Rattus norvegicus: one gene and its partner. The protein of the gene in region 2 purifies or fractionates together with the protein of the main gene of each other region. This does not show direct contact. Links are inferred from orthologs where the notes say so. Each region holds a gene or a part of one and is shown on either strand. Other genes may lie near its edges. The genes, in order: Ppp1r9b and Wdr48.

Region 1 (15,280 bases), on a different chromosome or scaffold from region 2:
CCTTGTTTCTTTGTTTTGGTTTGTCTGTTTGTTTGTTTTTTGAGATAGGGTTTCTCTGTGTAACAGCCCTGGCTGTCCTGGAACTCTCTTTGTAGACCAGGCTGGTCTCGAATTCACAGAAATTCGCCTGCCTCTGCTTCCGAAGTGCTGGTATTAAAGCCGTGCATCACCACTCCTGGCTAGGCCCTCCTACTTTGGGCCTACATATATTCCTCCCCATTCATCCAGTTTGTTTGTTCTGTCTGGTATCTGCCTACTTTACTCCACTGCTTGTTTTCCGAGGGTCAGGCCCCCTACACTGACTGCCAGGGCCTGGCACCAACCCAGCGAGAGTCAGGCCCTCGTATTTGTTAAGGGAAAGAAATGTGGAAAAAGCCTTATTCCAGACACGCAGTCCATGTTCTTCCTACTAGGGCCAACACACACCCTAAGCCAGTACACACCGTGCTAGGTGTGCTAGGCACAGCTGAGCTTCACACCCCTCCCCCACAGAACGTGTGGGGCCCTGGGGAGGGCTTCCATCTGTTCCCGGCTGTCACCCCAAAGCCTGGCACAGCACCTGCACAGCGGTGCTCTGTGAACATCCAAAGACACACACATACACACACACACACACACACACACACACACACACACACACACACACACACACACACACACACACAAAATCACACACAGGCCTCCCAGAGGCTGCTGCCCTCCGACCCCAGATGATGACTTCTAAAACAGACTTGGGAAGGAATTGGAAAGAGGGGGAAGGGAATGGAAGGAGGGTAGTACCTGCCATCCCGATGGGCTGCACCACCCTCAGTCACAGTCTTGACGAAGATGCCCAGCTTCTCCAGGCCCATGTCGGCTCCGGCTCCCATGCCAATGATGCTGATGCCCAGGCCCTCAGAGTCTGTGACACAGAAGGGGAGAAGCCATGGCTGGCAGGGACTCTTTACACTATACCCACTCCTTTGTATAAGCAGTCCCCAGGCATAGGAGACATCTCACGATGGAAAAGAACTATGGTTAGACCCACCTCCCTTTTGCTAACTCATGGGTTACTTCCTGCCCTATGCCCTATCCAACGAGCTGACAGGCAGCAGGGTGTGTGAGGGTAGCTGGGGTGTGGCAGGCCTTTGTGCATACAGATAAGACTGTGTGGCTGGGATGGGGACTGAGCCAGGACTTAGCCCTGAGCCTTTTGGTCTCTTCAATTATTCTCCTCTAAGCCCAGAACTCCGCTGACCAAACATGGATACCCAGTACCTAGCTGCACCTGCACTGCCTGTCCCATGGACTTCCAGCATTCATACATAGGATTGTCCCCACGAACACTCCCTGAGGACAGGCACTAGATGCCAGGCCTGGGAGCATTCAGATTCCTCTCTCTTAGCTCCGGGCTCCGCTAAGTCAAGTGACCACCAGGCTTGTTCCTGCCTGGTGCATCCACTTTCACTAAGCAACTGCTGACCTGCTATGGGAGACCGTCATTCACTGTGACCCTCCCTGGACCCATGCCACAGTGATCTTTCTTTTCTTTTTTCCCTTTCTTCTTTTGCTTTTCTTTCTCTACCCACCCCCAAGACAGGGTTTTTCTATATAGCCTTGGCTGCTCTGGAACTCACTCTGTAGGACCAGTTTGACCTAGAACTCAAGAAATCCATCTGCCTGCCTCTGCCTCCCAGAGGCATGTGCCACCACTGCCTGGACACTGTGAACTTTCTAGAATAGCTTTCCCCGTCCCTACCACAGCTCCCAATCCCTCTCAGAAATGGCCATGCTCTCGCCATGGCCCATGCCACCCCGGCCACGTGCTCATCCTACGCTGAGTGTACCTCTCTGTTCAACCCCACTTTCCACAGGGCTTCTCTTTAAAGCTAAGCTCTGAAGAGCTCACTTTAGAGCGTACTTCCTTGGTGAGGCTCTATCAAACATGGTCTCTCTTTCCTCCCGGCACATATGACGGCACGTAAGGCTGAAGTTAGAGGAGCCGTCTGGCCGGGAGCCTGCTTTTATCTGTCTCCGTGCCTCCAACAGCGCCCAGGATCACCTACACAGTACTTAGGAGATGTACACCAAGTAATACATTGGAGACACCAGTGACTATTGGTGCTGACATGGGATGCCGAGAAAGTCAAGCAGGTGCTGGGGCTAAGCAGCCTAACACGTGGCAGGGGTGGCAGGACAGAGGGTAGCACCACAGAAGATCCCAGCGTATGCCTTAGGTTGGCCTGGTCTCTCACCCTTCTCCAACTCCACAGGAAACAGCTCCAACCTCTCCACTCGCTTCTCCAGCTCGTATTCCGCAGAGGCCGCCATGGGGTCCACATCCTCATTGCGTCGGTCATAGTCCTCATTGGAGTAGGTGCTGAATACCTGGGGAGGAGCAGCTCTCAGAGGGCCACAGAGAATGCACTGGCAGGAGAAGGCCCTTGGGCCAGCTGACTTGCCTGAAGCCCCATGCCATTTCTTCCAGAGGCCCTTCCTTGACACTGACCTCACAACGAATCCAGTTCTCAGCAAAGGGCTTCCTAATTCTAGAGCCCAGGGTCCAGAGAGTGAAAGATCTGTTCCATATGGTCTAGTCTGGGTAGGACCGGACGGACACTCTAGGGGAGACTGCAAGGTCTGGGAATCTCCAATACCAGGGCAGGGGGAAAGGAAGAGACAAGACCCGAGAGCCAGACAGCTGAGGGTGGACACAAAGACACAGATGAGGAACAGGCTGAGCAGAAGACAGGAAGAGAGGAGGGGGAGAAGGATGGAGAAGACACTGGAGGATGCCAGATGGGGAGGGGGAGGGGAGAAAGAGGCAAGGAGCAAAGAGGGAAAGGCACCGGGACCCTTCCCCGCCCAGCTGCTGAAGTGGAGGCCAAGAGGGCCAGGGAGGAAGCAGAGAACCTCCTTTTACTTCCATGGAGAAGGGAAGGCCATTAATCCCCAGGTAGGCCTCAGAGAGCAAGAGTGGGGGAGAAAGAGGAGCCCCTATGGCCCTCCCACACACCATAACTATGCCCCTGAAGAACAATACCCCTATCTGCAGGTACCAGAAGAGCCAGGCAGAGGCCCCAAGACTGGGACCTTAAAGGAACCAAGGATCATGTGCAGTGGCAGCCTGTCTGTCTTGTACAGCGTTCCCTGTGCCCCTCTGCTATCTCTCTCCTTCTAGGTGTCTACCTCTGACTTCTTCATAGGATCAGTGAAAAGGAGACAGGGCTCTGTGGGTCCCTGATGCTCGTTTGAGGAACCGTGATGGGTTTTGTTTTTGTTTTGGCTTTACTGCTAGCCGTGACATTGTTGGCATCGCTCGAAGTCAAGTGGGGGGCAGGAGAGGTGGAGGCAGCACTTATCAGCCAGAAAGATTGGAGGAAGACACTGTCTCCAGCAAGATCTGTGCCAGGCCCTCCTCTGCTCTAGGAGCACGCTCGTGGGCACCCTGTAGGCAGGGTTACTCCTTTGTTGGGGCTTACTGAATGTCATCCAAACCTCCAGTCTCATCCCAGAGGTCCACTGCCACGGCAGGAGGTCGAGAGAGAGGATACTTCTAGGACCAGCCAGTAGCACAGCTGGGGTGGTCATGCTCACCCAGCTAAAGCCCTTGACACTACTGATCGGACACTCGGATCAGTCCTTTCGTGTTCATCCAGTGGCCAACGGACTGTTCCCCAGCATCTGGCCAGCGGTCCCAGCCTTGAAGGAACAGACTCTCTAGTCCACATATAATCTATTACCCAAGGTCACAGAGGTTGCTTACCCAGTAGCAGGACAGCACCAGACTCTAGATGGGCTGTACTTAGCCCGTCACAAGTGACTCAGTTCCCTATTGCAAAGGTATCCCAAGCTTTAGGATAAAGAATGGCATAAGTCTGGGTCAGCAAACTGGCCTTGTCCCATCTCTTCATCTGAGGCCTCTGGCCTTTACCCTGTGCCCAGAGACAGTATCCTCCAGCCTCAACCCATCTCCACTGGCCTGATCTGGGCCTTGTCTTCTGTCCCCAACCTGTTCACCTTTTGTATCCTGCCCACTGTGGGAAGCCCAGGCAGGCCTCAGGCTCAGAGGCCTAGGACCACCAGTCACTCCTCCTATCAGAAGGCCCTGGGTTCAGCGATCTCCTCGGCTGACAGGTTGGAATCATATCCTCTGCCCTGAGCAGATACTCCGACCTCCATAATGGTGACAACTGGGTCAGGGACGGGCAGAGAACCCTGGCTTCAGAATCAGGGTGGAGGTGGCAGAGGAGAAAAAAAGCCTACGGCCCTGGCCAGGCTGAGGAGGACGAAAGCCCCAGTAAGGCCAAGAGTCAGACACGTGGAGCCTCTGCACTGCCTTGGCTCTCACGCCAGTGGCCGGCTTGCTTCGGAGTCACCAGGGAGTCCAGAGCACTGCTCCAAATCATATGCTATTTTTTACCAAAAAATCAGGGTAAGGCGTCAGATATAGACAGAGGCCCAGACCACATTCCCTTTCTATGAGGGCATGGGGCTGCTCAAAAACCCCACGGGGATGGGGCAGCTACCTCTAACACCTTCCCAACAGCCTCTACTCCTTCCTGGATCCCACTGCCTCCACAGGGAACAGGGCATGGAAGAGTCTTCCAAACCCCTGGGCAGGGAGGGGCGAGAGGCTGGCCACCCTTAACCTTCTGGACCTCTCTCTGCTGGCCTGGGGGGCTGAGGGGGGAGAGGGAAGAGGTGGAGAGTGAGAGAAACTTGGGTAGCTTTGGTGTCCAGGGGTAGCTATGGAAACTGCAAGCAAACACATGGGGTTTGGCCTCAGAGGGCAAGGAGGAGCAGGGTCTAGGCCAAGGAAAGTACTTGGTGCTGTTATACTCCTGCTGGGGCAGGCCAGGTGCTAGGCTCAGTAGAGCTTGGGTAGGGAAGAAAAGACCATGAAATCTGGATGTGCCAGCTGGGCTCACAGAGCAGTGGGAAATGGGAGTGGTCTCCTGGTTTTAATTCTCCCCAGGGGACATCTTTTCTCTACCACCACTACTCAGAGGATCTCAAAGCACTGACAGGCACAGTTCACAAACCAATCAGCAATAGCGGTGTAAGAAAAAGCGCAGAAGGGGGGGGGGAGAGCAGCTGAACTCCCTTCCCCACAAAGCAAGCCCCCAGCCTCTTTAAAAGAGTAAATAGAAAATACAGAAAGAGAGAGGAGTCCCAAGGCTATAGGCATGAAAAGTCTGCCAGGTGCCCTAGGGGAACTTCAGACTCACCACCCTCTTCCTGTAGGGCCTGCTCCTTCAAGGACTACAGAAGATGCCCCTTTCCTGTGCAACCTTGGATATGGGGAGCTGGCCCTGCACAGACCCTAAGGTGCAGCGTCTTTCCCTCAGGCCCAGTCACATGGCAGTGGACCAACTCATCCCTGCTTCCTTCTCTCACTTCTGCAAAGTTGGAGTGGGGGTACAGGAGGGGAAAAAGGGCGGCCTTCCCTTGTATTTTTGTTTTGGGAAGTTCCTAGCTCCCCTCTCTCTCACCCCAGACAGAGCCAGTCTCACACATGGAGAAGCAGGAAGTGCCCCTAAGCTCCCCCACTTTCTCTTCCTGACAGCAGGGTTTGTATAGGAACAGTATCCCGAAGACACGTCCCGTCCCACACCCCTTCAGGATAGCCAAGTCCCAGCTTCTGGCAGCTTCTAGAAGAAAGAATGTCTGGGGGGGGGGAGGAAGAGAGAGCAGGTGTCCCAGGGCAGGGAGGGATGCTGGGCGGGGCTAGGAACCTGAGGGCAGGTCGCAGCAGGCCACCTTCACAATCACAGACCTGAAAACCTTCCCACTCTGACAAACAGCTGGAAGTTCCCCCACGCCTCCCTCACTGTGGGAACTTCTGGGAACCCGGCTGGGTGGCAGGGGCTGACTCAGCCTGCCAAACACGGATGTCTGGGTGGGAGCAACCACATGCACGTGGCAAGGGCAGCTGGGGGGGGGGCATCCAAGGGGACCACTCACTTGGATCGGTGCGGTGCTGAAATGGATCTTCCGGCTCGGGGCTGGGTCCTCTTCCTCTGAAAGCCCAGGAATCTCCACACACCCTGATTCCGGCTCGTAGGGGGGCTCCCCGTCCTCTTCATCTTCTTCATCGTCCTCTTCCAGGGCACTGCCCCCAGAGTCCTCCCCGAGTCCACTGTAGGCGCTCACGTCTACCAAGTCCGCTTCTGAGAAGTCCTCCTTTTTGGATTCATCCACCTCCTCGGGTGCCATGTCCGGGGCCCGGCCATTGTCCACCCCCCTCTCTAGTGTCGCCACTGACGACGACGCCTCCTCTTCGGGGACCGCTTCGGCCTTGGGTTCCTCGGGTGCAGGGCTGGCTGTGGTGGCTGTGGTGCTGCCATTCTCCAAGGCTGCATGGACGGTCACCTCGGCCTGGATCACTTCCCCGGGAGCCGACTCAGCCTCAGACTCCCCACTTTCCTCAACCTCCACCGGTTTGATCTTGCGTACCTCCCGCGGCTTTGGCGGAGGTCGGGCAGGGGCCACTCGGTGCTGTGGGGGCTGCTGCCCTCCGGGGCCACGATCCTTCTCTGTCGCGGCATCCCCCGACGGGGCGGGAGGCGGCGGCGGTGGCTGGAACACCCGGGACCGCTTGGTGACCAGCTTCGAGTTGACCTGGGGCGCCCCCGCGGCCCGAGGGGGACCGGGTGCACGGTGAAGGCCGGTCCTCGAGTCGGCTTTCTCGAAGACCGCACTGAGCTGGCTGACCGTCGGCGACACGGCGTCAGCATCCAGCTTGTCCAGCGCCTCGGTGCTGCCGTTAAAGCGCACCACGACGTCCAGCTTCCGGTCCTGCAGGCTGGCGCGCTCCTGCCTCAGCAGCCGCCGCGCCACGGCCTCCTTGTCGCCACCCGAGGCCGCGGGGACGCTCCGTTCGAACAGCTTCCGCGTCTCCTGCAGCCGGGACGGCGGGTGCGGCGGCGGAGCGGGCTGCGCCGAGGGCGCGGGCTTGGAGTCGAAACGGCTCACGCGCTCCGACACACTGGTGCCCAGCTTGAGCAGGGCACTGTGGTCCACGTTCTCGTTCAGGCTGCTGGCCCGCGGCAGGGAAAGGCGCACGCCGCGATCGGACGCCCGTGGGGCTTCGGCCATGCCTGAGGCGCCGCCTGCCTCACCCGGCGGCCCCGTGGTGGTGCCCATCTGCAGGAACATACTTTTGATGCGGTGGACGTTGGAGCCATATTTCTTATGGTGGGCCGCCTTGGGTGCCTCGTCAGGCCCGGGAGCATCGGGAGGCTTTAGTGCCTGGATGCCCGCTTCGTAGGCGCTGCGGTGCGGGGAGGCGCTCCGGAGGGGACCCCCGGGCCCCCGAGGCTCCGTCTTCATCATGGTTGGGGGAGCCGGGTTCGCATCCCCCTGCTCCCCGCTGTCCCCCTCCAGCAGGCGGCTGGCCAAGTCGGGACCACCGCCCCCTCCCCCCAAAGAAAGAAATCCCGAAAGGCCTTCTATAGAGTCCCCCAGAAATCAAGCTGCCAAAAAACAGTTAACCCTGCTTTAAAAAAAAAAAATCTCCGAGCGCCCTGTGTGGGTCGCCTCCCCCAACCAAGCTGCCAAAGACAGCCAGCCCCCTTCCAAAGATCTAGCGGCCTGGTGCGTTCGCCCCCACCCAAATTAAAGAAGCGGAGGCTGGCTGGAGCCGCTGGGACCGCGCGCCCAGCCCGCGAAGCAGCGGCCGCGGCACCGGCTCACATCCTCCGAGGCGGTGTCAGCGGCGCTGGCGGCGCAGGCGCCCCCTACTCCGGCCGGGGGCCTTGGCTCTCGGGATGCCCGGCATCCCCGCGCCCGTGGCTGCTCCGCTAACCCGGGCCGCTCCGCCGCACCTCCCTCCCTCCCTCCCTCCCCCCCGCGCCCCGAGCCTCGGTCTTTCTCTAGCTCTGCCCGAACCGCGGCTGCCGGAGACCGAGCGGCTGCCCTTCTCGCCGCCGCCGCTGGGGGACTGGTACCACTGGGTCCTAAAGGGATCGGATTTCCGGGGCCGGAGCCTGTGAGCCCTCCCCTTCCACCCTGTCGCCTGGTCTCTCCTACTCATAGTTGGCGGACAGCCTTCCGCAGCTTCTCGGACCTTGGCTATTCTTCTTCAACCCTCCCACCCCAAACTCGGCGGCTTTTCACAACCCACATAGGCGTCCCCTCATTTAACCCTGGGGGCGGGGAGCCATCTAGCCACAGCAGTCTGGGAGCTGGTCTTCTCCTCCCACAAAGTGAAGGGGTTTTTGAGGAGGGCCCTTAATCATTTTCTTAAAGGTCCTTAGAGTGTTCAGGGCTACCAGCATCAAAACTGTTGGGTGCTAGGTCAAAGCACATATTTCTAACTCCTTCCCAAAGTTGGTGAAGGGGGATCTCCGGGGCAAGACCTGGGATTCTTCATTTTAACAACTCCCCATAGACATTTTTTTGCACCTTTCAGGACGTAAAACTTTGGCCCAGCAATCTTGTGGTGCTCTGTGGGGAGGAGAAATGAAAGGGATGGAGTGGGGGTAGGGGCTACATCACCCAAATGTCAGGAGATAACCAAAGCTGCTTTTTGCCTTTGGAAGTCTTAAGATGTTGTTCTAAACCTGCCCACTTGGGGAAGGGTGTAGAATCCTGGCCTTCAAACCTTCCTCTCAAACAGATTTGGAAGGTGTTGCAGGAGGTTGGAAGGAATGATTCTAGAGGCCTAGGGTCAAAGTTTCTCTACTCAGAGTTCTACGTTGGGTCTCGGATTTAGAGGTTCTGGTCACTTGTGTGCAAGTGTGTTTGTGTGTGTGTGTGTGTGTGTGTGTGTGTGTGTGTGTGTGTCTGGGAGCTGGTCTTCTCCTCCCACAAAGTGAAGGGGTTTTGTGGGGAGGGCCCTTAATCATCTTCTTAAAGGTCCTTAGAGTGTTTAGGGCTACCAGCATCAAAACTGTTGGGTGCTAGGTCAAAGCACATATTTCTAACTACTTCCCAAAGTTGGTGAAGGGGAATCTCCGGGGCAAAAATTCCATCTTTAAAACTCAGTTTCTTAACGGGGTTGGGGATTTAGCTCAGTGGTAGAGCGCTTGCCTAGCAAGCGCAAGGCCCTGGGTTCGGTCCCCAGCTCCGAAAAAAAAGAAAAAAAAAAAAAGCAGCAACAACAACAACAACAAAAAAAACAAAACAAAACTCAGTTTCTTTAGAGCTTTTTCATTCCTCACATACACAACAAGAGGCCTTGTGCCCTTGATCCTTCTCCAATAATCTGGAACCTAGCAGTGAGGATCCATCCAATATTCAGGTCTAGTTGTGTAGCTCCAGTCAGTCGGTAGATTCCCAGGAACTGAACAGGGTGGACACTAGGACCCAGAAAACAACTCAGGCACAAAGCTTCCCCCCCCTCGCCCCAGCTGCTTCCTGCATCTCAGGCCTTCCTGCGGCCTCTGCCTCCTCCCCCGCCCTCTTCCCCTCCATCCTCTTCCTCCTCTTCCCGTTTTCTCCCTCTCTCCGGTTGGCCTGGCCGTGCTCATGGAGGGAACCTCTTACCCTTCCGTTCACCGTGTGTGGGTTTTGTGGGACACTAACCCATAGCACGTGCGAAAGAGCTCCCTGCATGGGGGATGGGACTTGGGGAAACCGCCTGGGAACCCTGAAGATTGGGATGGGGAGGAGCCAAGAACCTCTGGACTGGCTCCCTAGTGCAGTGTGCCAGGAGAGGGAAGATTTTTGGCTCTCATCTGGAGCCGGAGATGAACACAGATCTCAGGCTTTCAGATGCCCCTACATTTTTGCCCAGTGGGCAGGAGACTTATATCCCTCCCCAGTTCTGCATTTGGGGATCTGTGCAGGGTAAAGAAGCCATCCAGGTGCCTTCTCACCTTCTGACCCATCTTAGAAGCCAAGCCCTCTTCCTGAACAAGCTTTAGGACTTCAAATTCAATTCTGGGGCCTGAGCCCTCCACCCTAACCCGACTATGGCAGTTGGTTGGTTGCTTGTGTTTTGAGAATGGATCTGCAGTATCCTGTGCTGGTTTCGAACTAAACATTTAGCCAAGGATGACCTTGAACTTTTCTGATTCAACTGCCGCCACCTCCTGAGTGCTGGAATTACAGGCTTGAGCAATTGCTCTAACCCAGGGCTTCCTGCTTGCTAGGCAAGCATTTTAGCAACTGTGTTACATCCCGGGCCCCCACTGTGGTGGTTGGGCGATGCCCTTGCCCTTCTGCTCACCCCGTTGCCAGTTGGGGATCTGAGCGGGTGTTCTTAGAGTTCCCTGGTGGACTGGAGGAGGGCCCAAGGCCCTGGGTGTTCTGCCCAGAATCTCCCACACCCTTTGTGGTGAGTCATTTTTAACTGGCCCTAGCCCAAGGGGTCTGTACTCACTCCTGGCCAGGTGGGAGGAGGGGTTGAGAACCAGCTGTTAGCCCCTTTCCCAACACCCTTGGCAGAAATTTAGGAGGAACTGGATTCATGGTTACCCTTAGCTCTCCCTTGTGCACGGATTTGTCAGAGTAAAACTCCTTTAAGGACTTTGGGGATGTGAGAAAGTACGGTGAGCTTGGAGCTTGGGCGACTGCCGCTAATGAGTAAAGATTATTATTTCATGGGCTCCTAGATGGCTGAGCAACACCCAGGCTGGAATTTCTGAAGAGGCTTTAAGGGAGTGAGAGGTAACTGTGTTACCATCACTCTTTCCTTGGAGGCAGATACTATACAATCTGCCTAAGAGATGGGTGGGGCCCCGGGGTGTCACCTCCATCCTGCCCCTGCCTGTCTGAGGTAAACTTTCATTCCTCAGGCTGTAATGTTCACAGATTCTCGCCTGTTTAGCATCCCAGGATAATTTGAAACTTTTGGTTTCCCCGGGGCTCACGTGGAGGAAACCGCTGATACCATGGCCAATGTTCCTGGTGGTCTTGGGATGGAAGTTTCCTCCGTTCCTCTGTCCTGTATAGAGAGGGGAGTGGAGCAGTTCCCAAAGTCGAGCCAGGATCCAGGCTCCCCCCCCCCTTTTTTTTTCTTTTTTTTCAGAGCTGGGGACCGAACCCAGGGCCTTGCGCTTGCTAGGCAAGTGCTCTACCGCTGAGCTAAGTCCCCAACCAGGATCCAGGCTTTAGGTCTTGGCTATACCACTTATTGTCTAGTTGACCTTGCAGAAGTCACGTTTCTCCTCCCTGCTCCCAGGGGATAAACTGAGGCCTGGGAGATGCCAGCAGCCCGATGTATAGAGGAGAAGCCTCCCCAGCAGTGGCTAAGTGATAGAAACGGCAACAGGCAGTGATAACCCTTCCTCTCTCCTGGCCCGAATGAACGTCCTTGTTTCTCATGAGGGCCCTCTCCGAAGGTGCTCTTTGATGATATGCCTGGAGGCTTGCTGGCTTTAAGTGCCAGGTGTAACAAACAGCAAAGATGGTGATGAAGGCGGGTGGAGAGAGTCTGATGTGTGATAAGTCTCAGCCTTCAGCGCCCTGGGCTCAGGCATGGGCTGGGTGCCAAGGCTGGCTGCTCTTCCCAGCCCTGGGCCTTTCAGACAACTTCTGAAAGCAGTTTTTGTTTGTTTGTTTGTTTCCTGGCCACTGTCATCCGTGAAGAAGCTGATCTAGACCCTGCCCTTTGGCTGCTCTATGGTTAGTCAATAACGTTCACCCCAGTTCCTCTCCTTTGTTGGCTGGGGCCTTGAGCGAGTTCTGGGATCCAAGGAGGATATGCTTGTGTACTCACATTACCAAATAGGAGAGCTCACCCAGCATGGCAGTGGCTGGGTAGGGTAGTGGTGAGGAGTTAGAGTCCTACAGGGTTCCAACTCCCTGGGAACAGGAAGGAGAGAGCAATGGGTCATACAGTTTAGAGTCCCGGTTAGGATTCTGCAGGTCTGAATTGAATCCTAGCTCCTCCCGTTTGCTTAGTGACCTTAGGCTAGTTATTTTGGGTTTCTCAGTTCCTAACATGCTCAAACCTGAATGTCTGACATCTTCCGACCATGGGTGACCCAGGGTGTCTCCTACTTCCTGTGAGGCACAGGCTGGAACATGGCTTTGAAATCAGACCGCATTTGTTAGAACACCCCCAAGCTGCCACTTCTAAGCTCAAGGCCTTTGCCAGATCTCTTCATAATTTGTAAGCCGGAGACAAAATACCAACCTCAAGGAGTTGCCGAGGGCACTAAAGAGATCCTGAATGCAGAAAGCACAGAGGCTGGAGTTCCGAGTGTGGGCTGCCACTGCCATGGAAGGCACGTGTATTGGAGCATGGATTTGGGTGTGCATGCAAAAGTGTGGGCAGGTATGAGGCTGAGAATGAGCTCCGGTGTCTACAGCGCCTGAGTCTATTTTCATGAGACATTGGGCCTCTGCCTTTCAAGATCCATTATGTGAAATTCTTCTCTATTCCTGCCCATGGCTTCTCCAAACCCTTCTGAATTGTTTCTTGATATCCAGATAGAACCCAGGGCCTCAAGCATGCTAGGAAAATGTTACAAATCGTAACTACACCCCTGCCCCGAGATAATTTTTGAAGGTGACCTTTCTTCTAAACTTCCCAATGGGTCTTTTATTCCTGAAGTCGATCACTGCACCTGCAGAGAGAGGAACTGTGGGTCCCTTCTTTCCACAGCTGGGGGATAGCTACTGCCTGTTCTTTTTTTTCTTTCTTTCTTCTTCTTCTTCTTTCTTTTTTTCTTTCTGGCTACTGGCTTTCTTCCCATCAGTCTCACACTGTACTCTAGCACCCTGTGTAACCTTGTAAAGATCACATGTTTCTTGGAGACTAGGGAGGCATGGGTCTGGTGTGCGTGGGGGGGACGGGGTGTTGGTGGGGGTACGGGGTGTTGGTGGGGGGAGGGGGTGGGACACAGCAAAGATACCTCCAAATCCTCAGGTGCTTTAAAGGAAAGCTTGTATTTAGCTGGCTCAGCTGTAACTATGTATTCTGCTAGGTTGTAGTTGTAGCCATTGGAGCTCTGCAGACATGCACAGAGGTCAAAGGGGAAGAAAGAAGGAACAGGAAAGATTAGGCAATGCGTTATGTCATCAGCAAATCCAAGGAGCTCCGACTGCTAAGAACTCACATTTCTGTGGTTGGTTTGTTTGTTTGTTTTTTGTTTTTTGTTTTTTTGTTTTTTGATGGCCAACTGTTTTTTTCATCTGCTTTCTGGACTGTGTGCAAGGAAGAGACAACTTTCAGAGTCACTTTCTCCCATAGGCCTTTGCTGGCCATGTCCCGCCTGACTGGCTCTACCAGGCTCTGCTGGGTCCCGTGGGACCTAGCACTGGCTCAGTCTCCAGAATGCTGCTTCTGCTCTTCTGCCTTAGCCTCTTCTCTTAGCCACGGGAGGGGTTGGGGGCAGAGAGTAGAACATAAGCAATCGTGTTACCTTGGGGGCAATCCTCCTTCCCCCAACTCTTACTCTGTAATAATTTTTTCTTTCTTTCTTTTTAGCTTTTAGTTTGAAATTTTTTCATAGAAAATAAGGAAAGTACAGAGAATTGCATTGCAGCGGAATTTACAAATGCCAGTATTGGCCCATTTTAATATTGTGAATATAAATGATACTAATCTGGGAGGCTGGAGAAGTGAGTTGGTCAGTAAAATACTTGCTGTATGGGGTTGGGGATTTAGCTCAGTGGTAGAGCGCTTGCCTAGCAAGCGCAAGGCCCTGGGTTCGGCCCCCAGCTCCCGAAAAAAAAAAAAAGAAAAAAAAATACTTGCTGTACAAGGGTGAGAACCTGCATCTCATCCCCAGAATCCAAGAGAAAATCATGCCCAGAGCGGTGACTCAGGCTTGTGATGCCAGGGCTAGCCTAGCCTACCTGCCTAACTCCAGGCCAGCATATGTGTGTGTGTGTGTGTGTGTGTGTGTGTGTGTGTGTCTGTGTGTGTGTGTGTGTGTGTGAGAGAGAGAGAGAGAGACAGACAGACAGACAGAGAGACAGAGAGAGAGACAGAGACAGAGAGACAGAGAGAGACAGAGAAAGACAGAGAGACAGACAGAGAGAGTGCCCAAACCAAACTGCAAAGATGTTTCCCATCTTCCCTGTGGAGACTATCTCCTGGCACTGCACTCCCTGGCCACTCCCACTGCTGCTCCTGGCAACCACTTGTATCTGTGTGAACTTGACTCCTCTAGGTACCTTATGTAAGCATCGTACAGAAATTGTCCTTTCGTGGCTGGCTTGTTTTGCTTGGGTTTACATAAACTGTGGCAAGCATCAGCCCATAATTTTACCTCTTTCCCATGCATTTACGTGTTCATGAAATAGTAGTGCTTTCTGAGTCTTTAAAGCCTGTGTAACAATAGCAATACTATATATGCCATTTGTACCTTCCCCACTCAAGATTTTTGACAGTGGGTCTCTGTCTTAGTCAGGGTTTTACTGCTGTGAACAGTCACCATGACCAAGGCAAGTCTTATAAAGGACAACATTTAATTGGGGCAGGCTCACAGGTTCAGAGGTTCAGTCCATTATCATCATGGTGGGAACATGGCAGCATCCAGGCAGGCATGGTGCAGGAGGAGCTGAGAGTTCTATGTCTTCATCCGAAGGCTGCTAGTGGAAGATTGACTTCCAGGCAGCTAGAAGAAGAGTCATATAACTCACACTCACAGTGACACCTTCTAATCCTGCCAGTCCCTGGGCTGAGCATATACAAACCATCACAGGCCCTATGTGGTTTGCTCATTTTAATTTCTGTTTATCACTTGAATAAACCATAATGTAGTTGTTGCCAGTTCACCTACTGACAGTGTTTGGTTTGCATCTGGTTTTGTTTTGTTTTGTTGTTCTTGCTGATCTAGGCAGGCGTGCAGAGAACATCCTGGGATTTTGTCTGAACCCATTCAGGATGTCTACCTAGAAGCAGAATTTCAGGTATTGGGTGGCTGAACTTTGAACTTGGCTGTAACTGCCATGATGTTCTCTGCAGCTGCCGAGTCTCCATCCTTCCTCCTACCCCAGCAACTGTACAAGACCACATCTGGCCAACATTTGCTCTATTGATTGATTGATTGGTTGATTGAGGCAAGGTCTCAGAGTGTATTCCTGGCTCACCCGGAACTCACTGTCTAGACTAGGTTGGCCAAAAACTCAGAGCTCTGCCTGCACTTTCCTCCTAGGCTAGGATTAAAGGGTGGATTACTATGGCCAGCCTCTACCCTCTCTTTTATTTGTGTGCATGTGTGTGTACACGATAGGGTGTGTAATCATGTAGAGCCGAGAGGACGACCTCAGTGTTATCCCCACCGAGGCCATCCACTTCTTCTGCGATGGAGTCTCTCCTTGGCCTGAAGCTCATCACTTGGACGAGACTAGCTGGTCAGTGAGCCCCAAAGAAGTCTCCACTTCTTCCCCAGTTTGG
Region 2 (15,280 bases):
TTTCTATGTGGTCATTAAAGAGAGAAATAGAATTTATATATGGATTGGTTCTTAAGACATTTCACATAAATTTTATTCAAGTCTTGCAGGACAAAATGTGCCTCTTGTTTCACAAGAACAGGAGAAATCCAAGGGCCTGGTGCAGAGCCCCAGTTCCTGCTGTGAGATGTCCAGGACACTATAAACCCCAGGCTGTTAGCCACGAACAAATGCTAGTCTTGTGTGTTGGCCTCCACCGTTTTCTGCCAGCCTGTGGAAGAGGAAGCAGGGCTTCAGGAGGGGCTTCTCAGGAGAGGGGAAGAAACAAAACCCCTGAATCCAGGTAAGTGGGAACCATCCCAATAAACTCATTGTGATTATTTAAAAAAGAAAAAAATGTCTAGACACAGACAGGAACAAACAAGCCCAGAGCTTAATATGTGATTTATTTTTATTTTAATTATGGGTATATATATATATATATATATATATATATATATATATATATATATGCATTTGTGCATGTGATGAACTGCCTATTGAGGCTAGAAGAGGCTGCCAGAAGCTGGGAGTTACAGGTGGTTGTGAACCACCTGACATGGGTCCTAGGAACCAAGTGGAGTCTTCTGCAAGAGCACTATGTGCTTAACTGCTGAGCCATCTTCCAGTCCTGGGATTTAATACTCTAAACAATTACTAAGTACCCACCAGCTGCCAGGTACAGTTTTAAATGTAAAGGATTGTGGGTGGAGCAAAGAAGTCCTCCTGGGGTAGTGTTCTAGGGCAAGAGGTTAACTGGAAGGAATGGCAAGCCAAGAGAAACATGGGCAGAAGCATCTAAGTGAACAGTTACTTCCTTATAATTTCATTGTGACAGTTGGAAGGCAGAGTTGAGAACTCCTAGGACTACACTCAACCGCCTGCAAAAAGGGGCAGGCACAATGTGAGCTTTGTAAGGTAACAGGAAGCCAGGCTGTTAGTACGAAACCACTTTTGAAAAGAGCCAACTAAAGGGACTCAGACAGGAGAAAAATAACAGGGTAGCCCCCACCGACAAGCCCCAGTGCAAGCCCTATCTGACTCAGTTCTGTGGGAGAGACAGACCCTCCTTCAGCATCTGGAACCTAAATGTCCTCAGGGTCACTGGTAGTCACTGCAGACAATCAGAGAGAGACATTTCTTTCTCTGATCACTTAAAATTCCTTTCGTGGTTTGCATATGAAGTAATGGCTTTCCTAACCAAACTTCGTCTCGGTACCATCCTGTTCAAGGGAACGAGGCAGGGCTTCCATCACAGTCATTACAAATGGCTGCACGTGTAACTGCCTAAGGCATTCTCTACTTTCCCGTGTAAGGCTGGAGTCCAGGCTGGGCTCTGGGGTACCCTCTGCCAAGGGTCTCACAGGCTCTGGCCGGCCAGTCGCCAGGTTGGTATTCTTTAGTAGAGACTAGGGAAGAGCATGCTTCCCCACTCACGGCGGCTGCTGTGGCTGCGGCCCTGTAGCCCTCCTTTCACAACTGCCTGCCTGTCAGTCAGACCTCCTTCCATTCTTGCTCCCAACAACTGCCAGAAGAGGGCATGGGATCCCATCACAGATGGCTGGGAGCCACCGTGTGGTTGCTGGGAATTGAACTCAGGTCCTCTGGAAGAGCAGTCAGTGCTCTTGATGGCAGCGCCATCTCTTCAGCCTAGCTGCCGGCTTTCTTTCCCAGACTTTTCCCATGGCAGCCCCTTCTGCACACCACAACAACAAAATAATTTTCATATAGAAATGGCCTTGGGGGGGCTGGGGATTTAGCTCAGTGGTAGAGCGCTTGCCTAGGAAGCGCAAGGCCCTGGGTTCGGTCCCCAGCTCCGAAAAAAAGAACCAAAAAAAAAAAAGAAAAGAAAAGAAATGGCCTTGGGTATTTTATACAAAAGAGAGGACTAGACAAGGTGGTGCATGCCTTTATACCTAGCTCTTGGGGGACAGGGGCAGGAGGATTTGTAGGCCAGCTTGGTCTACAGTGAGCTCTAAGACAGGGTGTGTAGAGAGACTGAATTTTAAAAAACAAGGCAAACAAAAGAGGGAAGGGGGTGGGCTGATGCGTAGAGGTGCGTGGTACCAAACCTGACGACCTACATGGAGGAAGGAGTGAACAAAGTCCTACAAGCTCTTTTTGAAGTGTTCCCCACACTCCCAAGAGAAACTCCAAAGCATTCTAACATCACAAAGGGAACACAGGGCAAACTCAGTTCTTCAAGGCTGAACACTAATTCATTTCTATCTGGGTATCTAAAAGACACCAGAATAAGAGCACCTCCAAAACCAATGACCCCCATGTTTCCTGTGTAGTCTTCTCACCTCAGCTGATGGCTACACTTCTTTCCCTAAACCCAGTCAGTCTCTTTTCTGCTCCACAAACAGGCCTCATTCCCACCTCAGGACATTTGCATCAGATCTTCTCACTGGAACGTTCTCAATCTAGATGGCTTTGTGATTGTCGCCAAAGCCTTTTCAGTCACCTCAAGCTAGGCCTTCTCCCCAGAACAGAACTTTTGCTTCTGCTTAGCAGGTGGCACAGGCCCTCAAGCCCAGCATGGCAGGCAGAGGAAGGCCAGTCAGTCTCTGTGAGTCTCAGGCAGACCGGGCTACATACTGAGTCTAGTCTCCAACCACCAGTACCACCACTTCTGCGTCTTCTACTGCTGACTATGACCAGTTTTTAACCTTTAGAGTCTATTTGCTGTTTCAAAGAATTATATAATTAGATAGCACATACCTATTGTACATACATTTCAGTTTACACTGTCGACATTTGCTTTATTGAATCCATTCATTCATTTGATTCATCTTATTCTCTTATCTTTCAAAACAAGCAACACATCAATGACACTTCTCTTGTAGGCATGTGTGTCACCGTCTAGTTGTTTCTTTACTATTTATATACATTGATTTAAGATAAAATTTACAGTGAAATACACCATAGATACTCATGACAAATCAGTTCACCCATGCAATACAAACCCTTACAAAGACAGAACATCATCATACCTTACAAAGTTCCTTTCTCTCCCAAATGTGCACATTCTATCCTCAGATAACCTAACTCAAATTTTGTCACCAAAATATCCTGTTAATAGGGACATACAGCTCCTGAACAAGGCTACTTCCAGACGGCAGGTTAGTCTAATCTAGTCCAGGAAAACCAAATATAACCATTATCCTACATCTACCCTCCTGTCCTGATCCATAAGCTATGACTTTCTGTTTGTAACTCTGTCAGATGATTCTTTTTTTTTTTTTCTTTTTTTCTTTTTTTCGGAGCTGGGGACTGAACCCAGGGCCTGGCGCTTGCTAGGCAAGTGCTCTACCACTGAGCTAAATCCCCAACCCCCTGTCAGCTGATTCTTAAACAGTATTTCAGCTCTGTGGGTAAGAAGCTTCACTTGTTCTGTTAAGCACAAGCAGGAGACAGAATTCACAGAAACCATGCAACACCAGCTGAAGCAGCACACATCTGGAACCCAAGTGCTTACATAGTATGATGGGAGGTGGGGATGGCAGAGGTCCTGGAAGCTCATGCCCTGGTGAATGACTGTCTCAAACAAGATGCAAAGTGAATATGGACAGTAGAGGTTATTCTGATCTCATGTGTGCTGTGGTATACCCATGTCTACAATCACATACATGTAGGACACACTAACTTCTTAGGATACACTACAGTTTGCCTTCTTCTAAACCAGGGATTAGCAACACGTACCTGAAGGACAAACCTGACCTAAACTTTGTTTCTGTGAACTAGTCTTGCTGGATTATTGCCAAGTAACCCACTACATGAATATATTATATTTTGTTTGACAACTACATAGAAATTTCCAAAGATGGGTATTTAATATTTTATTTCCCACAATAGCAACATTCCTACCATAAATACTCTGGAGAAGTAGAGACAGATTACAGACATATATGTGACTTTGTAGAAAATTTCTTTTAAAGACAAGTGCCTTGCTATATATATAGCCCTAGGTGACCTAGAGCGCAGTGTGTACATCAGGCCTGCCTTTGCTTCTTGAGTGCTGGCATTAAAGGAGTATGCTACCATGAAAGGTTAGAACACATTTTTATAGTAAGGAACTGTGGGCTCAAGGGGCTGCTTCTAAGTTTGGCAAAGCAAGATACAAAGTGGTAAATGCTATGGCTCTGTAGAAAGTCAGGTCAGGTAGCAAACTGGAAAAGCGCAGGCACAGCTCTCAACCCTGCCCTTAAAGGAAACTTTTATCTGGAGAGGGTCTGGTTGCTACAGCTTGGGAGGTACTATTACATCTAGTGGCAGAAGTCAGAGGATCTTAAACAACTTAAAACACACAGGGCAGGATCCTCACCTCCTGCAGGAGCACCAAGCTACTGAATGAGTAAAGACTGAGCAGGCGGAGAAGTGACACAGGACGCTCCACATCGCTGCTGTTCTTGAGAAAGTGAAGGACAACTACAACTTATAGTTTGGTACCATTTGTGGGTTCTTCTTGCAACCCGCATGCGTGCATCCCTTCTGTGCAATAGGAGATGCAATCAGTCTCGGAGGCTTCTAACTTTGCACTGTACCTAGTGGACAAATTCTGAGCGTTCTCTTTAGCAGGCTAATTTTGGCTTTTGATAGGAAATCGTGCCAATCACAATTGGCTTGCTGTTGAACAAAGGGCTCAACACCAGATTCTAGCTTCCTCCTCTGGCCAGCTATAATCCCCATAAGCCCTGGCCAATACCTGGCTATTTAAACACTTCTGTTTTGGTACCTGCTGTGACTCATTTTCTTCTCCACTTTTCTCTGTTGTGTTGTCTTAAAAATTTTTTTAAAAAGATGCTAAGGACAGAAGTCAAGGGCCTTGTGAAAGGCAGGCATGTGCTCTACACTGAGGTGTACTCCCCTAGAGCCAAAGGATAACTTGGAGCTAGTTCTCACAGGGACTCTGTGGGTCCCAGGAATCAAACTCAAGTCTTCAGGCTTGGCAGCAAACACTTTGCCCCTCCAAGTCATCTTGCCAGCCGTTGTCTTTTAAGTCTTTGCCCCCAAACTGAAAGAACTGATAATCCTTACTTTATTAAGAGCCACCGTCCTCATGTGTGGAACATGGCAAAGTTATAACTCAGTTGGACTCAGTTCATACCCCCTGGCCTGGAGGCTGGGTTATTTCAGTGCCATCAGGAATCATGCCCCTTTAAAGAAAAGTGGCATCTACTCAGGGAAAGCTAAAAGAATTTTAGATTCTTGTCACTTCACTCATCCTTAAAACATTATTTTTGAGTGTGCATGTACATGCATGTGCTTGTGCATGTGCACACGTGCAGGGGCATAAGGACACGTATGTGCACATGCATGTGGAGGCTGGAGGTTGAGCTGGTTGCGTTTCCTCATTGCTCACTCTCCTTCCACCTGGTTTTTTCACAGGACCTGGGGCTTACTGATCAGCAGGACTAGCTAGCCATCAAGCTTCAGGGACACTCAGCTTCTGCCTCCCTAGAGCTGAGATTCCAAGTGCCAACCAACATGCCAGACTTCTTTTCAAGTGAGAGGATAGAGATGTTTAAGTGGGGACAGAAATTCAGATCCTCATGTCTGTGCTACAGGCCTTTTACCAGACTGTGCCATCTCCCTAGTCCAATTTTAACATTTAACAACCATCTAGTGAGGGGCTGGAGAGATGGCTCAGCGGTTAAGAGCACTGACTGCTCCTCCAGAGGTCCTGAGTTCAAATCCCAGCAACCACATGGTGGCTCACAACCATCTGTAATGAGATTTGATGCCGTCTTCTGGTGTGCCTGAAGACAGCTACAGTGTACTTACATATAATAAATAAATCTTAAAAAAAAAAAAAAAACAACCATCTAGTGAGTCCACAGGGCCAACAAACAGAGCTCAGTAGTATAAAGAGGACACTTATCCAGAAAATGTCACATCTTTACAGCCTTATGCTGGGGTTACTCACCTTTGGCCCTCACTTCTGAACACTGAGCTCAATCTATGGAGTGTTTACTGATTGCTAAACCCTTTCAGCCTCTTCCCCTCTTTGAAGCCAGTCTATGCACTTAGTCTACGTAATGACTGAATGCATTTTCTTGAGGTGGTGTGTCTCATGTTGCCCAGATTGATTGATCTCAAACTTGGTAGGTAACTGGATGATGACCTTGGATTTCTGATTTCCCTGGCTTCCCTACACAAACACACACCAGGGCTGGAGGTACAGGCAGTACTAAGGAGGCCTGGTTTGATGTGGTGCACGAGGTTTGAACCTTGCTCAGGACTGGAAGAAAAATGCCAAATGAGCTTCACTCCCATCCCAAAAGGCAGCAAGCAAAATGTACACCAAACCAAAGTGATTTGGGGAAACCCAAAGCACCCATGGTGTGGGTAATCGAACTCATCACTGGAGATTCCGACGTTAGGGAGACTAGGACTTAAAAGGAAGACTGGAAAATGCATAGTGAGGACGGTGGAGGTCGGAGGCAAAGCCTACTGCAAAGGAAGGGAAACTGTCATTTCCTCCAGCGCAGAGCTCCCACGTGCGACCCGGCCCCGCCACGCCCCCGCAAGGCCCCTAGCTTCCCAGCCTCACCCACCCGCGGGCGCCGCGCGGCCTCCGCCGCCGGGTCGCGGCTGTTCCGGAGGAAGGCGGCCGAGAGCAGAGGCAGGTGAGCGGGCAGTAGGCCCATGGCGCCGCCGCAGGCCCGGTGCCCGACGGCGGTTCCCCGGGACGGCGGTTCCCCGCGACCGCTCGCGAGGCCCGCGCGCCCAGTCCGCCCGCCACCACCTCAGGCCGTTGGCGCCGCGGCCCCACCCCTCGCGCCGCTGCGCCCCGCCCCGCCATCCTCCGGCCGTCGAACCCCGCCGGTCGCGGCCCGAGGCGTCCGCCCGCCCGCGGGGAGCCCCGACCGGACGGCAGCGTCGCCAAGGCCGCGGAGCCGGGCCGCCATACCTGCACTTTTCTCCGCCCGGCTGTGTTCTGCCGGTGATGGGCCGCCATCTTGCATGTTGACACTCCGACGTCACTTCCGGGAGAGTCGCGGCACCGGCGGATGTCCCGTCCTATTCTTTGGTTGGGTAGAAGGTAGGTTGGGCGTAGGCTTTCCGGGCTGGTTGCGAGGGGAAACGCAGGGGGAGAAATAGCAGAGGGCGGGCGGTAACGCTAATGGAGCCGGAGCCGAAGGGCCGGTCCTGGTCGTCCTCAGTGTGACTGAACCTCAGAGCCGCCCAGCTCCTGCATGCAGAGGGAAGCACTCAAGAGAGGGGATACTCCAACCACTTAAGCCAGTGCTTAACCGCTGAACTTACTCCATATTTATAGGTTTTTAAAATAATAAAAATATTGTTGTTTCTTTAGTTATTTGAGGCATGGTCTCGCTGTGTAGTCTCGGCTGGCCTCAAACTCTGTGGAGGTCAGAGAACAACTTTTGGTAGTCAGTCCTCTTCTTCTATTATGGGGGCCTTGAGATTCTAACTTAGGCTTGGCAGTAGGCACCTTTATCCAGTGAGTCATCTCACCAGTCCTCCAGCCCCCTCAGGATCTTAGCCAGACTCTCAAGCGCTAGAATTACAGACTCGTGCCTGTAATATGGATCTTACGCTGTTAAGTGAGATAATGTTAGCATATATAGAAGACAATATATTTTAAATGATCTGTTTGGCAAAAACATGACCAAAGTAGCATAACCCCTGTGGAAACCCACTACCTTTGTAAACTAATTAAAAAATACAAAGGGGCTGAAGATGTGGCTGAGAAGTTCAGAGCACTTGCAGAGGACCTGGGTTTGGTTCTTAGCATCCACATGGGAACTCATGAACTGCTATAAAAACACCAGCCCACACGCCCCCTTCTGGCCTCCACAGGTACTGCATGAAGGCAGCACACCCACACAGGCAGGCAGAACACTTACACACGTTAAAATAGAAATCTAAAATACAGAATTTCAAACATAGATACACTGGCATGAATGGAAAATGATTGCCCCTAAAACAATACAAGCTATAGCTGTTGCTCTTGGTTGCCCACCATAACTAAGTAGTAGGACACTGTGGCTGAAGACACTGTATACTTAGGTAGCTGGACATCAAGGTGGAACTGACCTAAACACTTCTCTCTGATGACCAGCTTTCATAGTGGCCGGAGGTGCTATGCAGCCTGCTAGGGAAGAGTAAGTATTCACGATACACCAGCAGACAGCCCTGCCAGGCAAGATGTGCCCACTGCTGTAGTAGTGGCGTGACGATTATGAGGGCAACCAACTACTTTTGGGCTTGAGGGAGCTTGTCACTATAAACCTGACTCTGTAAACCTCAAGGCTCAGGGCATCATGGCCACAGGGAGGAACCTATTACTGTTGTTTCGATACACGTTATCAAACTTCTTTCTAGAAATTTAGGTGTATTTCCATAAATCCATACCGTCCTCAGCCATGCCCAGAGGTGTTTTGCATCGAGCAACATTTGATACAGAGCCTTAAGATGCAGAGAATAAGAGACTGAGCCCTAGATAGGCATCTGTATCAACCCCACCCTAAGGCTCAGGGAACTCTTTTTTTTTTTTAGATTTATTTATTTATTTATTATATATGAGGACACTGCAGCTGTCTTCAGACACACCAGAAGAGGGCACCAGATCTCATTACAGATGGTTGTGAGCCACCATGCGGCTGCTGGGATTTGAACTCAGGACCTCTGAAAGAGCAGTCAGTGCTCTTAACTACTGAGTCATCTCTCCAGCCCCTGGAACTCTTTAAAAACAAACAAACAAACAAAAAACAAACAAACAAACAAAAAAACAACAACCCCCCCCAAAAAAAACGGTAGAAAGGATGTAAGAGCTGGGGGAGGGGCAGCGCCCGTGGAATGCTGTCTTTTAGACAATGTGGCCTTTGCACCGGGAACTCGCTGCCATTGTGGTTATCTGCAGAAGACCAGTAAACATTCCAACCCTCAGCGCTGAATGAACTCTGAGTTCTGAACACTGAAAAGGAGAGGACAGCAGGGTAAGATGTATCGAGGGTTCCTAGAGGAGTTGGAGTAGGACGTAGGATTTCCTGGAGGGAGTAGGAGGGGTTCCTTAGGCTAAGAGAAGAGCTGAGTTGGGGGTGCCTATGATCAAGACGATCAAGGCATATTGTTCACACATATGAAACTGCCGAAGGGTAAACGAAAGGCACCATATTAAAATGGTCATCTGGTGCTTAACATGCTTGATGCACAATAAAAATTACTGCCTCTCAAAATGAAATTGGACTGATGATGTAGCTCAGTGGTAACTAGTTTGTATGCTCCAGGCCCAGGTTCATAATAAATAAACACGTAATAAAAGAAAAGCACAAAACCATGCAGAACCTTGGTTTAAAGTAACCAATTTCTATTAGCGATTACTGTATAATTTGGATTTTAAAAAATGGCGTGTTAGGGAGCTGGAGAGATGGCTCAGAGGTTAACAGCAGTGGCTCCTCTTCCTAGCATGCTCATGGCAGCTCACAGCTGTCTATACCTTCAGTCCCTGGGGCTCCAACACCTCTTCTGACATGCTCAGCTACTGCACATACGTGATTCACAGACATATAGGCAGGCAAAATACCTATACACATAAAATAAAAAAAGGAAAAAATGATGTGGTTTGAATGAGCAGTGTCCCCCAAAGCCTCAGGCATCTGAATACTTGGTCCTGGTTGGGAGCACTGTTAGGGGAAATGGCATGGCCTTGCCAAAGACTGTACATTACCTGTTACCATGCATCACGTGATCCCTGCCACGACAGGCTCTTAGTCCTCTGGAACCACAAGCAAAAATAACTTCTTTCAGAATAGAGAAGTCACTAACACTGGTGGGTTTTGTTATTTTTTGTTTGTTTGTTTGTTTAGAATAGCACTTCACTACCCATTTAGCCAAATAGTTTAGTATAAGCTCATCTTGGCTATCAGATTCACAGAGAAACAAAAAACTGTATAATTTCCTTATAGCACAGCCTTCTAGTAAGTAAGGTACAATGATGTATGATAGGCCATAAGGTGACTGCCACTGGAGAGTGATGTGCAGGCTGGGAGGTGGTGGCACAAGGCCTTTAATCCCAGCACTCGGGAGGCAGAGGCAGGTGGGACTCTGAGTTTGAGGCCAGCCTAGACTACAGAGTGAGTTGCAGGACAGCCAGATCTATACAGAGAAACCCTGTATCAAAAAACAAAACAAAACCAAACAAAGCAAAAGTGATATACAGTCCAAGGTTGTATAAGCAATCTCAGTAGTGGAATAAGAACCAAAAGGAGGGGGTTGGGGATTTAGCTCAGTGGTAGAGCGCTTGCCTAGGAAGGGCAAGGCCCTGGGTTCGGTCCCCAGCTCCGAAAAAAAGAACAAAAAAAAAAAAAAAAAAAAAGAACCAAAAGGAGACTTCAGAGTTTCTGAGTTTGAGTGATAAAATCTACACCCACTACAATCTGGTTTTTGACCAATATTTGTGGAAGCCTCAGCCAGCTCAGCTTCTGTACACTACATAAAAGGCACATTTGTGGTATCACTTTAATCTGATTTAACTTATTTTGTTTGTGTGTGTACGTATGAATGCATGTGTGTGTGTGTGTGCGTGTGTGTGTGTGTGTGTGTGTGTGTGTCCAAGGATGCCAGAAGAAACCACCTGTCTTACTCAGTGTTCTATTGCTGTGAAGAGACACTATGACCAAGGCAACTCTAACAGCAAGTATCTGATTGGGGCTGGCTTCAAGTTTCAGAGGTTTGGTCCCTTAACCTCATGGCAAGGAACGTGGTGGCACACCAGCAGACATGATGCTGGAGAAGGAGCTGGGAGTTTTATATCCAGATACACAGGCAGCAGGAAGAGAGAACCACTGGGCCTGGCTTGAGTTTTGGAAAACCCAGAGCTCGCTCACAGTGACACACTTCCTCCAGCAAGGCCACACCTACTATCCTTCCTAAAGATTGCCACTCCCTATGACTAAGCATTCAAATATATGAGCCTGTGGAGGCCATTTTTATTCACACTATCACAACACCCGATCTCCTAGAGGTGGAGTTACAGGCAGTTACGAGCTGCCTATCATCAGTGCTGGGAACTGAGCCCTGATCCTCTGCAAGAGCAGCAAAAGCTTTTAATCACCAAGACATCTCCCCATCCTTGCGATACATCTCATCTTTCTGATTGTTATTTTGCCCACTTGATAAATGCAGTTCCCCAGCACCGCAATCTCTATGGGCAGTTGGTTCTCCTACACAGAAAGTCTAACAAGATGCTGGAGATGTTTAGGTCAAAAATTGTATGATGTTTCATCTTGTCAGAGAGACCTGTTGTAAAGGCTCTCTTGGAAATTTCTCTTCCAGGTGAAAAGAAGTCGAAGAAGTCGAGGCGTTTAGCAGCTGTTCCTCTCTAATACGCTGAGGAAGAAAACAGCCTCTTCTACCTCTTTACGTGGGCGCATCAGTAGCGCAGAGCATTTTCAGGTCTAAAAGTGCTCAGTCCAGCTCTTCCACTGGAGGGCAGTAGAGACCCATTTACACTGCCCCTATTTGGGAAGTCGCTGGCTGGCTGTGACCCCCCTTAGAACGTTCGATAATCACTTCCCCACTGATGCAAAGTCACAATCCAGACACCTTTACAAGAAACATGTTTCCCCGTGAAAATGATAGAATCACGGTGCCAGGCTGTGTGAGAGTAAAGCACACCCTGTGTGTCTGTGAGGTCAGTGTGTCCCATAGCCGTGGATCCAAACTACCCCAGATTAACAGCGTTTGAAAAAAGACGACTACTCATCTGCCAAACTACTTGTTAATCCAGTTTCTGGTTTGTTTCGTTTCTGGGTAGCCCTGGCTCTCCAGGAACTCACCCAGGCTGGCTTCAAACTCTCATGTGCCTCCCATGTGCTGGGATTAAAGGCGTTGTACCACCACCAGCTGGCGAACAGTTTTTACCAAGCGGTTACATTTTGTTAGGATGCTCGAGGAGTCACCTAGTGATGGTTTAGAATGTATAGATGCTGTGCATCCGTTCCATGGAAATTCCACACGCTTTTATACAAGACCCTTGAATACCCCAGAATTTTGATACCCAAGACTCTTGAAACTAGTCACAATGGACACGAGGGATAACTTGATAATTTATCAGGTAACCAATATAACAGAAAACAATATAACTGTGCCACAAATGTTTCCTTTTTTGGAAGTATGTTTTTTACACAGGACTTGAATGGGCTGAGGTTTTCTGAAGTTTAGTACAAAAAAGTGTCTTGGGTATGAATTTTACCCCGCATACTTGAATGTGTCCAAGCAGGTGAAGTATAATTCTGGACCATCAAAATAGCTTAGCAGGTGATGGCACTTGCCACCAAGCCTGATGACGGGAAGTCATGTCGGAAGGAAAGGAGGGACTCATACAAGCTATCCTTTGACCTACACACTCGTGCCTCTGATCTAGAAGTCAGAAGAAAGTTTTAAAAATCTAATTAATTTTACTTTTGAGCTCCCACCTAATAAAGGATGGCGAGCTCATGCTCAATCACAGTTTGTAGACCCGTGGCTACGGCAATCATAAGCCACACATCAATCTTAGGATCGCAGTTGGAGCACTCGAAATCCCGCAGCAACAGTGTTTAGAACCCAGCGTCTCAGAAATGTGGTCCCTTGAAAGTGACAGGTCAGTGGCTTTTTCTTCCATCTGGAGTAGGGCATCGTCAGGGCTGGGAATCCCAGAGCCCATGGTCTAAGAGCACTGCCCCTCCTCAGTCTGGATTCGGTCTTAGGTGGTCGTGGTTTTCACTTCTATCAGAACCTCTCTTCTTCCACTAACTCCTTTTCTGGCCTCCAATGGGAGCTAAGTTCTTTTCTGATTCCCCACCTCACCCAACTTTCTAATGCAAAGTCTTCAGTGATTTGGGCTTTGACCGAAGTCCAGAGGAGAACCTGTCCTTAGGAGCTCCTGCCTTTTGCTCCACCTTTGTCTGAGACCAGCATGCTCTGTGAATTGACAGCCATCACAGGAAGATGAGGAAGGAAGGAAAATTACAAGCAGGACTGAGACACTCTAATGCCTCAACAAATCACCCTTCCATAGATCCTGTTCCTAGTAATCTCCCAGCAGAAACCACAGGCATTCTTTATGCCTCTAAGCACCTTCAAACTGCATTCAAAACCTGGCCCACAAGTCTGGAAATCTCTCTTTGCTAATTTGTTGTACATGAATGCCAAAGAAGCCTTTGAATGGTAAATGTGGTGGGAGGGGCAGTTTCCATGGCAACAGTCCAACGCATCCTTCCCCCCCACCCCCTGCAAACCAATTAGATCTTCATTGCAGAGCTGCTGTGAATGAGAAGGTGAGGACAGGGTTCCTGTGCAGGGAGGAGGGGCTGTAAGAGCGGAAGGTCAGAGCATCTGGAGCTACATCCTGAACCCACGGAGCAGTGCTACCTGAGCTTTGGCGGCCTCGGGTTGCTTGCCCTGGATGGCTTGGAGAAAATACCCTCATGACAAAGAAACAGTTTCTTTAATAACAAAGAATGGTCCCAAGCTAACACAGAACACGTTAAACACAATAGAAAAAACAAGCAAAGGTACAAATAGGTATCTGATAGGAGAAGAGAAGAGATGGGGGAATTTTATGGAAATGTCCGGAGTCTCATTCATAATGCAGAAAATACACGTTGAAGGGAACATCACTTTTCTCCTACAGCTTGGGAAAGACCTGAACGTTTCATTAGACACCGTGTTGAAGTGTTTTTTATACACTTGGAGTGCGAAGGTAAATCAATATAATTGCCCAGGAAAGCAACTTAGCAGTTCCTTCTCTAGCAATTCATCCTCCGGCTGTACTTACAGTTAATGTGGGAAAGGGTATTTATTGAAACTTTGTTGGAGGAAATCCTGGGGACAGGTTAAAGGACTGATTGATAGGTCCATCAAGATCCATGCAGACAGCCAGTTCTACTGCCCTGCATCCTCGGTCCCTCTGAAGGGAGTGGTATTGGATGGACTGTCTCCTGCCTCAGTTTGACCTGAGGTAGAAGTGGGATTAGTCACTCTTCTGACAGGACCTGGGCATGGTGGTGTGTGCCTTTTATCTCAGCAGTTGGTAGGAGGAAGCTGGCAGATGTCTGAGTTTTGAGAGTTTTGGGACAGGGCAACAAAGAGAGACTGGAATGCTTCACTTTGGCTCACAGTTTAAGGGATACAGTCCATCATGGTGTATAAATCAGCAATGGAAGCCTGAGGGCGCAGCTGACATACTGGGTCAGCAGGCACGCTGCAGCTGGCTTTCTCTGTCATTCAAGACCCAACCCCTCATTTGGGGGTCTACCCATCCAAATTAACCAAATCTGGGTGCTTCTTCACTAGCTCACCGGGAACAGATTGTGTGTCACAGTTTTGGAGTAAGGGTTTGGTATCCTGGCTAGTTTTACTTCAACTTGATACAAGATGGAGTCATCAGAGAAGAGGGAGACTCAGTTGAGAAAATGTGTCTTTGAGATCAGATTCTAAGGCATTTTCTTAGAGATCATTGTGGGAGGGCCCAGCCCAGCCCACTGTGGGTGGTGCTATCTGTGGGCTGGAGGTCCTCATTTCTCTAAGAAAGCAGGCTCAGCAAGCCATGGGAACCAAGCCAATAAGCAGCACCCCTCCATGGCCTCTGCATCAGCTCCTGCCTCCAGGTTCCTGCCCTGTTTGAGTTCCTATCCTGACTTCTTTCATGATGGACAACTCTGTGGAAGTTTAAATAGGTAAGCCCTTTCCTCTCCAATATGCTTTTTGTTCATGATGACTCATCACAGCAATAGAGACCCTGACTGAGACATTTGGTGAGGCTTTTCCATAGACTAAATGTGTGGGAAGTACCTGGGGAGGGAGAGAGGCAGCCTCCAACTGTGCCAAGTCTCACTGAGAGGAGCATTTGGAACCTGCAGCTGTTCCCCTTCTCCTGGAGAGGAGCATTTGGGGAGATGGCTCAGTTGGAAGTGCCTTGCAGGCATGAAGATCCGAATTTGATTCCCAGAACCTCTTTTCAAAAGGCCACACATCTGGGGCCCCTGATGGCCCAGCAGGTTGGAACACTTGACACCAGGCCTGACGAATAGGTGGATTCCCAAGAGACACACCAGGTAAAGGGAAAGATCCAACGTCTACAGGTTGCCTCTTGCCTCTTTCTCAACCCCCACTATATGTGTGGAACACTCATGGCAGAAAGGACTGACTGCCACATGTTGTCCTCTGTCCTTCACACATACACACACACACACACACACACACACACACACACACACACACACACTGTGAGAGTGAGAGCCAGAGATAG

The links.
Region 1: the proteins of Wdr48 (region 2) and Ppp1r9b purify together in Homo sapiens (affinity purification with mass spectrometry; 3 studies listed by BioGRID and IntAct, with this or other methods). This does not show direct contact. The link is inferred for Rattus norvegicus from reciprocal best matches to the Homo sapiens genes WDR48 and PPP1R9B.

What each region holds. Positions count from the first base shown.
Region 1 is NC_086028.1:80,427,450-80,442,729, reverse strand, and holds the start of Ppp1r9b (neurabin-2), read right to left. Parts: upstream 7,831-15,280; 5' UTR 7,318-7,830; coding exon 5,947-7,317; intron 2,368-5,946; coding exon 2,235-2,367; intron 902-2,234; coding exon 781-901; intron 1-780. UniProt on the Homo sapiens protein: Seems to act as a scaffold protein in multiple signaling pathways. Modulates excitatory synaptic transmission and dendritic spine morphology. Binds to actin filaments (F-actin) and shows cross-linking activity. Binds along the sides of the F-actin.
Region 2 is NC_086026.1:128,491,442-128,506,721, reverse strand, and holds the start of Wdr48 (WD repeat-containing protein 48), read right to left. Parts: upstream 7,002-15,280; 5' UTR 6,983-7,001; coding exon 6,935-6,982; exon of another isoform or gene 6,758-6,934; intron 6,710-6,757; exon of another isoform or gene 6,672-6,709; coding exon of another isoform or gene 6,579-6,671; intron 1-6,578. UniProt on the Homo sapiens protein: Regulator of deubiquitinating complexes, which acts as a strong activator of USP1, USP12 and USP46. Enhances the USP1-mediated deubiquitination of FANCD2; USP1 being almost inactive by itself.